2 linked regions of the Arabidopsis thaliana genome follow. The protein of the gene in region 1 interacts with the protein of each later gene in a pairwise test. Each region holds a gene or a part of one and is shown on either strand. Other genes may lie near its edges. The genes, in order: AT2G13290 and AT2G33250.

Region 1 (4,795 bases):
AAGATAAGCAACTTCCATAGTTAGCGTCCCTACATTTGATGATATACAATACCATCCTTAGCCGGAAAACTTGTCGTTATCTTTCCAAGATCCATCCACAAAACAATAATATTGAGAATAATTGTTGTCAATTGGAAATGCCGCACTCGGTTATGATTTTCTAAATTACAAGAACCATGAGTTTCACTGTGAAGCTCAAGTTGAGCTGACTTCCACGAGTCTGACTCTTTTTCTGCTAAGTGTAACATTTCTAGAGGATCTTTATCTACATTTTTAAAGATTTTTTTTTTTTCTTTCTTTCCAAATATACCAAATTATCCGTGGAAATGAAGATGATTCTAATTCCGAAGGTATGCGCCAAAATAAAGAATCTAAATTTGCATAAATAGATGCATAAAGAAATTTCCCTCAGACTGTAGGTATCTGTGAAAGTGCCCAAATCTAACGCGCATGATGGCATAAGAAAAGCATGTGGTTAATTTTTTCTTCTAAAGCACCACATCTACTACATCCTATCTCAGAGTTTATACCGCGTTATTGTAAATTGTTTGTTACTGGTACCCATCCCGCTAAAATTTGTCACAAGAAGTGACGTAACTTGGGCGGGCACTATACTTTCTATGAGTATGCTTTTAAGACTTTGATGTCTGGGCCAATAAAAGAAGACTTATTATCCAAAGTCTTTAATCGCGCCGTATAATATCCAGATTTAACTATATATTTTCCTGATTTTGTGAAATGCTAACCTAACCTATCTTTCTTAGTTGACACACCCAAGTGCAAAGCACTTATTCGTGTGACATCTTCCGAATCAGAAAGCGTTTATAAAAGATTAATATTCCAGAAATTTGTCTGTGAGTCTATAAGACTCTTGACCTTTAAAGAATGATCAATAGCTGAACTATTTTTTATTGTTAGTCTCGAGAATTGAGTTGGAATCCACGGATCCTCCCAAACTAAGATGGATTATCCACAACCGACTCTTTTAGTAAGTCATTTATTAATCAGGGATCTAGTTGAGCAAATACTTCTCTATTCATAGAATGGAGAATATGATTTTATATTATCCAAAGAGTTGGATTTCCAAAAATTTTGTCCTTTAAGAATCCGCAAAGAGTAAATCTGGAACCGTGATTAAACACCAAAATTGTTTAGCTAGAAGAGCCGGAAAAAATTCGTCTACATTACGAAATCCCAGCCCCCCTTCTGATTTGCTATAACACACCTTATCACATGTTATCCAATGCATATCATTAGATTCACCATTTGAAGTCTACAAGAATTTTGCGATAGTACTTGTGAGCTTTGATGTGATTATTTTCGGTAATCTGAAGCAAGACATAACATAAGTTGGTAAGGTACCGATTTAATCAAAATCATTACGACCGGTCTTGTGATATCATAATCATTTTAAAAAGATAAGATGACCATCGACGTCCATCTTCATCTCAAACCTTCAAATACAATTTTTGGCAACCAAATTTTCTAATGAAACATGAAACCAATAAAAAATTTCAAAAAAACATGTATATAACTTTTTTCCAACAAAATTCTATCGAGTTTTCCAACAAATTTGCATGACATTTTCTTTTTTCATTCTTTTTCTTTATTATCAATATTTTTAGTAAATTTTCAACACAAAACAAATAATAAAAATTGAAATAGAAAACTAAAATATAGTTATAATAAAAAAAACTATAGATAAAATTCAAAAACGAAACAAGCTACAATTAATAAAAAAAAATTAAAACTAAAATCTCCACCAAAAAATTTAAAAACCGAACTTCAAAACCCAATTAAAAACTGGAAAACATCATGACCTTATTCTATTATTAGTTTCGATACAGTATATTTATATTCCGTTTTAACTTTTGTTTTCTTTCGATAAAGATCTGTGGCTAGGCGTAGATTAGCGAGAGAGGTTTAGCGGTCGTTTTACATTCTTCCAAAGCTCTCTCTTTTACAGCTTTTCACAAACAAATCCCAAATCTGATTCTTTCAGCTAAAATTCTTCCATCAATCAATCGAATTGTCAAAAAAAAGATATCACAACCCTTCGTGTGTTCTCATTTCTTAATCTTATACACTTGAAATCTCCAAAAAGGTACCATTTTTATGACTTTGTTATCTCCGTTTTGTGTTCGTTGTTTCCGATTCTCAATTGGGTTATAAGGGTTTAGTCGTTAAACAACTCAATTCTCGTTTTTGGAATTGATGTGAATTTAAAGTTGGAACCTTTTATGTTTTGATCCAAAGAAAAGAATCTGCTTTAGGTTTATGCTTAATTGATAGAGTTTAGTTTATTCTTTGATGCAGGGGAAAAAGAAAATGAGTTGGTGAAGTTTGAGAACCATAGAGATGACGATTCGATCGTTGCGTAAACCACCGCCGGTTAAACTTGTGTTTCCTACTCTGATTATACTCTTCTTGACATGTTTGTTATGTATCTTAACAAATTTCCAAACCATATCGTATCTTTTCCGTCCGCTTTGGGATAAACCGCCACCGCCTTTTAAACGGATACCGCATTACTATGCGGAGAATGTTTCCATGGGACATCTTTGTGAGCTTCACGGCTGGACACCGCGGTTAGAACCGAGGCGAGTGTTTGATGCCATCATTTTCAGTAATGAGCTTGATCTTCTTGAAGTCAGATGGCGGGAATTGGAGCCTTATGTGTCGAAGTTTGTGATATTGGAGTCAAACACTACGTTTACCGGGATCCCGAAGCCGCTTTTCTTCGATTCCAATAAGGAGAGATTTGCGTTTGCGGAGGGGAAGATTGTACATGGAGTGTTTCCTGGGAAGAAACGGTCTACGGGGCAGCCGTATGAGGATCCGTTTTTGCTTGAGGGGCAACAGCGAGTTGCGATGAACTGGTTGCTTAGAGAAGCTGGTGTATCGGATGGAGATGCGGTGATAATGTCAGATGCAGACGAGATTCCGAGTCCTCATACTGTGAAGTTTCTACAGTGGTGTGATGGGATACCAGATGTAATGCATTTGGAGATGAGGGAATACATGTACTCCTTTGAGTTTCCGGTTGATTACAGTAGCTGGAGAGCCTCTGTTCATATATATAGTAGGAAGTGGACTCAATACCGGCACTCACGACAAACGGACTTGATATTATCCGACGCAGGGTGGCATTGCAGCTTCTGTTTCAGACGACTCAACGAGTTTGTTTTCAAGATGAAAGGTTATAGTCATGCAGATAGAGTCAAACGCAAGGAGTTTTTGGATTATCAGAGGATACAAAAACATATTTGCAAAGGTTATGATCTCTTTGACATGCTTCCTGAAAAATACAGCTTCCAAGAGTTGATTAGCAAAATCGGACCCATCCCGCCTTCTGCGTCTGCGGTACATCTACCAGCCTTTTTGATTCAGAACGCTGCTCGCTTTCGGTTTCTCCTCCCGGGAGGTTGTCTCCGAGAACCCTAGCTGAAGATTAAGTACAAAATAGAGAAGCAATAGTTTCTTGTTACAAAGGTTTTTGGCGTCACACCAACTTAACCTGAAACAACAGATAAATAAAGAAATAGATCTTATAACATGTTCTGTTTTCTTACAAAACTTATGGTGATTACAAGACCGGGCCAACAACCATCATTAGTCTCACTCTAGTACCAAATTAACTCAACCTTATAGACAAGCATATCTGGTTTAAACGCACTGGACAAAGAAGAGGTAAGCCACATAGCTTATAGTGGGAGACTCATTATGAACGTAAAGACAGAATCAAGAAACAATATGACCAAAAACCAGTGATTGTTTAAATGTTCCTCTTTTGTTTACCCTCTAAACACTATGGCAAATAATCAATAACAATCTCAACATTGTTGAAAAACCAATATTTTTTTTATCACATGATCCAAAGAGTTGTGTTTCTTTATTTTATTTTTTTGGTAAGCTTGTAAATATCATTAGAAATGAAAGTGAAGAGATTACAGAAGCAACACCTAAAGTAGAGTAATCTTGGGAAAAAAAGAAAGTAAAAAACAAGATTACAATAAAGCCAAAGTGGGATACAAGTTATCTAATCCAAAGGAGCATGAGCAGACGCCAACGCTTCCTATGTCGTCTTCCGGATATGATGTTGCGGACTTGACGATCAACGAGCTTGAAGGTTCCAAAGGCAGTGATCCAATGGTTGTTGTGAAGGTAGTTATTTCGTTGAAGCCAAATATGATAAATTGCGGTTTGCGTAGCCACCTTGTGTTTCTTTATCGTAACATGTCCTTAATGTTTTTGGCAAAACTTTTTTACATATATTGTTGTAATGTTTTCACAAACTTTCTTGTAACTTGTCTTTTTTTTCGAGTGTCCTCTTGCTTCTATTGAAGTTATACGACTGAAATTAACAACTAACAAAAATAGTGTAAAATCAATGTGATTAAAAATCAAATTTATAACGAAAAATAGTTCTTAGCGAAATACAAATCAACTATAGAACATTATTCATACTAATGTACCCTCATTGAAGCAATGTAAGTATCCCAATGCGTTTTTCCTGCTCAATTAAGCGCCTTTCGGGACTTTGTAAACTGAAATATCAATAGAAATGAATTAGATAAGCTTGTGAGAACTGAGAAAAATGCATAGTCTAGTGATAGTTACCTCCGCAATAAGATCCAGGGACTAAGAGGTCGCCGCATGCATGAGAGAGTTTGGAGAGCTTATAAAAGTCAAAGTTTTGCGAAAACGTTTTTGTAACGACTTGGCATATGCATTTCATCTTGTTCAATTTTATAGTATCACAACAAACTTTCAATGGAGAAACCCAAGGAACGCC
Region 2 (3,870 bases), 8.6 Mb from region 1:
CACCTTGAATTATTGTTTCTGACGGTTTTTGCATTACCAAAAGCTTCTAAAACTGGATTTGACTGCATAACAGGATCATAATACGAGAAGAATAAGAAGATATCTACAGAGAGAAACTCAGTGAGTCTGTCTCTAGTAAGAATGTAGATGCATTGTAAACAGACTATCTACCTCCAAAACTTGCTGTTCGACAGATCGTCCTTCACTCTCAGCTTTTCCACCCATGTATGCAAGATATTGCATGAGCATTTTTGTGCTCTCTGTCTTCCCAGCACCGCTTTCTCCACTCACCAAGATCGCCTGGCTTACTCCCTCGTTGATCATTTTTCTAAATTTATATTCTTGATGATGGTGAGGCCCAAAAAAAAATGATAGTGCAACATTAGTTAAAGTTTCATCTATGCAACAAAAGATTACCTGTATGCAGAATCAGCAACAGCAAAAGGATGTGGGCTTAACTCGCCAAAATCTGTGCCCTTATATTGCTCCATTATCTCATTTCCATATAGGTGGGGTAATCTTTTAAAGGGATTCACAGCTATCAGTATATTCCCTGTGTATGTCTGTAACCATCAAGAAGAAATTAGCTTGCTACAAACACTTCAGAGAAATATTAATGATATTGCTATAACTGTGCAGTAATTTTCAGCAAAACAATGGTAGAGATAATCATAGAATTCATAAGTGGGTGTAATGAAAGAAGGAAAACTGACAAGAGTTACATGCTGAAGCGTACATATATTTCATTTGCATTGTATCTGGCTTTTAGATTGAGAAGAACCCCTGGTTCATGCAAATACGCAAGCTTTGTCATGTCGTCCACACCAAGCTCAGGAAACTCAGGATCCTTGGGGTGGACAGCATTAACCTTTGCCACAACCTACAAACAAATGCATCACAAATATGAGCAATGTATTCTTAAGGTACCTTAAGAACTAACACATTGTCTCGTTGCTTTGGAGAAAAGGGACTAACCGTCTTGGTTTGGCAATTAACTTTGATCTCTTGACCGTTAGCTTCCACAACTTCTCCATCTAGCCAGGCTTCATCTGGATCTTCCACCCAGACCTGTGACCCCACAGTTACCTTCACTGAAGCCTGATTAAAGTAGAATATATTAGAAACAAATAAAAAAAATATTGTCAAGCTTCATTAGCTGGTTCTTTTGTTCTCTTTTAGACACATCTTATAATGAAATCTAAAATGTAAGGGGCAACATAAAAATCAGCTCAAATAGCAATTATGGTTACAGAAGATAAAAAAAAAAAGGTAAAAATGAAGAACACGGAGAAATCGCAATGCAGATAAGAGAAGAGAGACTCGTACCATTATCACGGCCAAATCTGGTCTGATTTTCCTAGAAATGATCCCGAATAAAGATTTCCAACGGGAGAAACATTAGAAAAAATCCCTGAGAACCCAATCAGCTGGTGTTTCCACACCATGGATCCAAACACCATAAATCAAACACAAAACGCTTCTCTCTCTCTACTAGCTTCAAAATCTCTGATCGACGTTATAAATGCGGAAGATTAAGACTACATTCACGTTTTACGGACGATATTTCAAATTTCTCCGACGATTACAGAGACCTTAAACCCTTCGGCTTTTGCCTTCCAATATTTCCCCAGGAAAGCTGGAGATTCTCGCAGAACGTAAGAAATTTTCTCGCGTTTTCCCTCGGAATATTCTCTCCTGGTTTTTTTTTGTTTTTGCCTTGTTTGATGCTTCGTCTCTCTCTCCCTCGTTTCTGGAAAAAGGAAGAGAAAAGAGAATCCACGTAGGCGTGTCAGGTCAGACATTTGATGATCTCGAAATTACCCCTGCAATTATACCGGATTTCAGTTCTAACATTTCTCCTGGACCAAGCCGGTTTATAGTATTCGATTCTAATGGAGGAGATGATGACAACGTGGCGCAAGTTGAGTGTGTCTATACATGGAGCAGAGCATTTTCTTCACTGTTCTCGCTTCGCCAGACGTTAATGGCGGATAGAGGAGCTCTTTCGTTACCGCGAGCTTCTACTTATCTTAGTTTCTCAAACCTCCATGTCTGGCGATTCCACAACCCTAGATCTTATCCTCCCTCTCGTTCTCAACTCCTCTGTTTCTCTTCCTCATGCTCTAGAGTAACTTCGGCGAAGATAATTCAGCTGAACCGCCGGAGATTCAGCTATAAAATATGCGCCGCCGCTGATGACGGTAGGGGATACCGTTTGACGGAAAGGGGAAAAAGGGGAAGGAAGCGGCGGGAGCTATGGGAAGAACTTTTTGAAGATAATGTTGAAGACGATGATGATGAAGATGATGGTGGTGGTGGAATTGGTAGTGCTAATTTTGACCTGTGGAAGATCTTAGAGGAAATTGTAGATAATGTTTGGATTTTAAAGGTAATTAGTTTCAATCATGCATCTTTTAAGCCTTAATTATGAAATTAGCCGGGAATCTACTACTGCTAATTGAAAATGCTGATTGATTAAAGTATCAAAATTGTTCTTTGGTAATGGTTATGGTGATCATGTAAGAAACAGTTAATATCGTTGTGTAGTGAATCTGAACTAGTTTTGATTTCTAACTAGATAGTGTCTTTCTGCTCAAAGATAAGAGAAACGGCTTTGTTGATATATAGCTGCATTTTATTTGCATACACCAGATTTTGCTCTCTTATTGTTGGTGTGGGATCTTTATTGTGTTTGGTTTATGTTCACTTTGTAGGCATTCAAATCGTATGGATATCTCCTCCCATTCATCATCTTATCGCTTTTCTTCAGCACCGGACCCAAAGCTTTCCTCGTGTCACTAGCCGTAGCAATCGGGCCATCATTGTTATTTTATGCGTTCCAGAAGTTGATTGGTTGGGATAAACGCAGAGGTACATCAATAGCAAATCAATTCGGGATAGAGGAAGAAGAAGAAGAAGTGGAGAGAAGTAGTAGCAGGATTCGATACAACCCATCAACCGTTAGAAACAATGTCAATGGCCGTGGAGTTAACCGTAGTTCAGCTGGAATGGCTTCTAAGTTTGGTGGGTGGGACGAGTTAGACGGGCTTGGTACCACCATTCCCGAACGGCCAACAAGCGAACCGAAGAAGAAACCGTTACCGAAGAGGAAGAGAGTAAGAAGAGAAAAGGCAGCAGAACCATTATTGTTGAGATTGTTGGTGTCTTTGTTTCCATTCTTAAGCACATACACAAACATGCTCAAGTGAAAAACCACTAAACCAAAACAAACCAAGTTGTTCAAATTAAACCGAACCGAAATTGGTTAAAAATAGAGAATAATTATGAGCCTCAATTTCAGTTTGAGCATCACCATTTCTTTTCCATGACTTTCCTCTTATCAAGAACATTTATTTCTCTCACTCTCAGACCTTCTTGTTCGATTTCCATGGCGAATTTAACGACGAACGCTAAAACTCGCCTGAGAGGTGTTGTATTCGATATGGACGGAACCCTGACTGTTCCGGTCATCGATTTCGCCGCAATGTATAGAGCTGTTCTTGGTGAAGATGCTTACAAGCGAATCAAAGCAGAGAGCCCTAGTGGGATTGATATTCTGCATCATATTGAGTCGTGGAGTCCTGATAAACAGCAGAAGGCGTATGAAATCATTGCTGATTATGAGAAACAAGGAATAGATAAGCTTCAAATCATGCCTGGTACGGATTCATCTGCTTTATTTTTTTATTTTTGATTTTGTGTTTGCGCTGAGGAAGTGTTAAGGATTTGGGTTTTCGTCTGATAATCTATCGTAAAATGGGTTAAAGATTGAGAATTTCGTAGAGTTAAAGATGAGAAAAGATTGCAAATTCAAGGCTGAAAGATAAAATGAACATTTGTTAAAAGTGAAGACTTTATGGTCTAACGGAG

What was found.
Region 2: the proteins of AT2G13290 (region 1) and AT2G33250 interact in a protein complementation assay, tested with the Arabidopsis thaliana proteins (one large-scale study listed by BioGRID).

What each region holds. Positions count from the first base shown.
Region 1 is NC_003071.7:5,509,700-5,514,494, forward strand, and holds AT2G13290 (beta-1,4-N-acetylglucosaminyltransferase family protein), read left to right. Parts: upstream 1-1,862; 5' UTR 1,863-2,104; intron 2,105-2,299; exon of another isoform or gene 2,300-2,316; 5' UTR 2,317-2,358; coding exon 2,359-3,444; 3' UTR 3,445-4,139; downstream 4,140-4,795. Other genes in the region: AT2G13295 (protease inhibitor/seed storage/lipid transfer family protein), read right to left, coding at 4,522-4,547, 4,621-4,795.
Region 2 is NC_003071.7:14,095,470-14,099,339, forward strand, and holds AT2G33250 (uncharacterized protein), read left to right. Parts: upstream 1-1,899; 5' UTR 1,900-1,984; coding exon 1,985-2,389; intron 2,390-2,714; coding exon 2,715-3,209; 3' UTR 3,210-3,282; downstream 3,283-3,870. Other genes in the region: XID (myosin XI D), read right to left, coding at 4-62, 172-328, 418-563, 737-880, 976-1,098, 1,389-1,445; AT2G33255 (Haloacid dehalogenase-like hydrolase (HAD) superfamily protein), read left to right, coding at 3,326-3,659.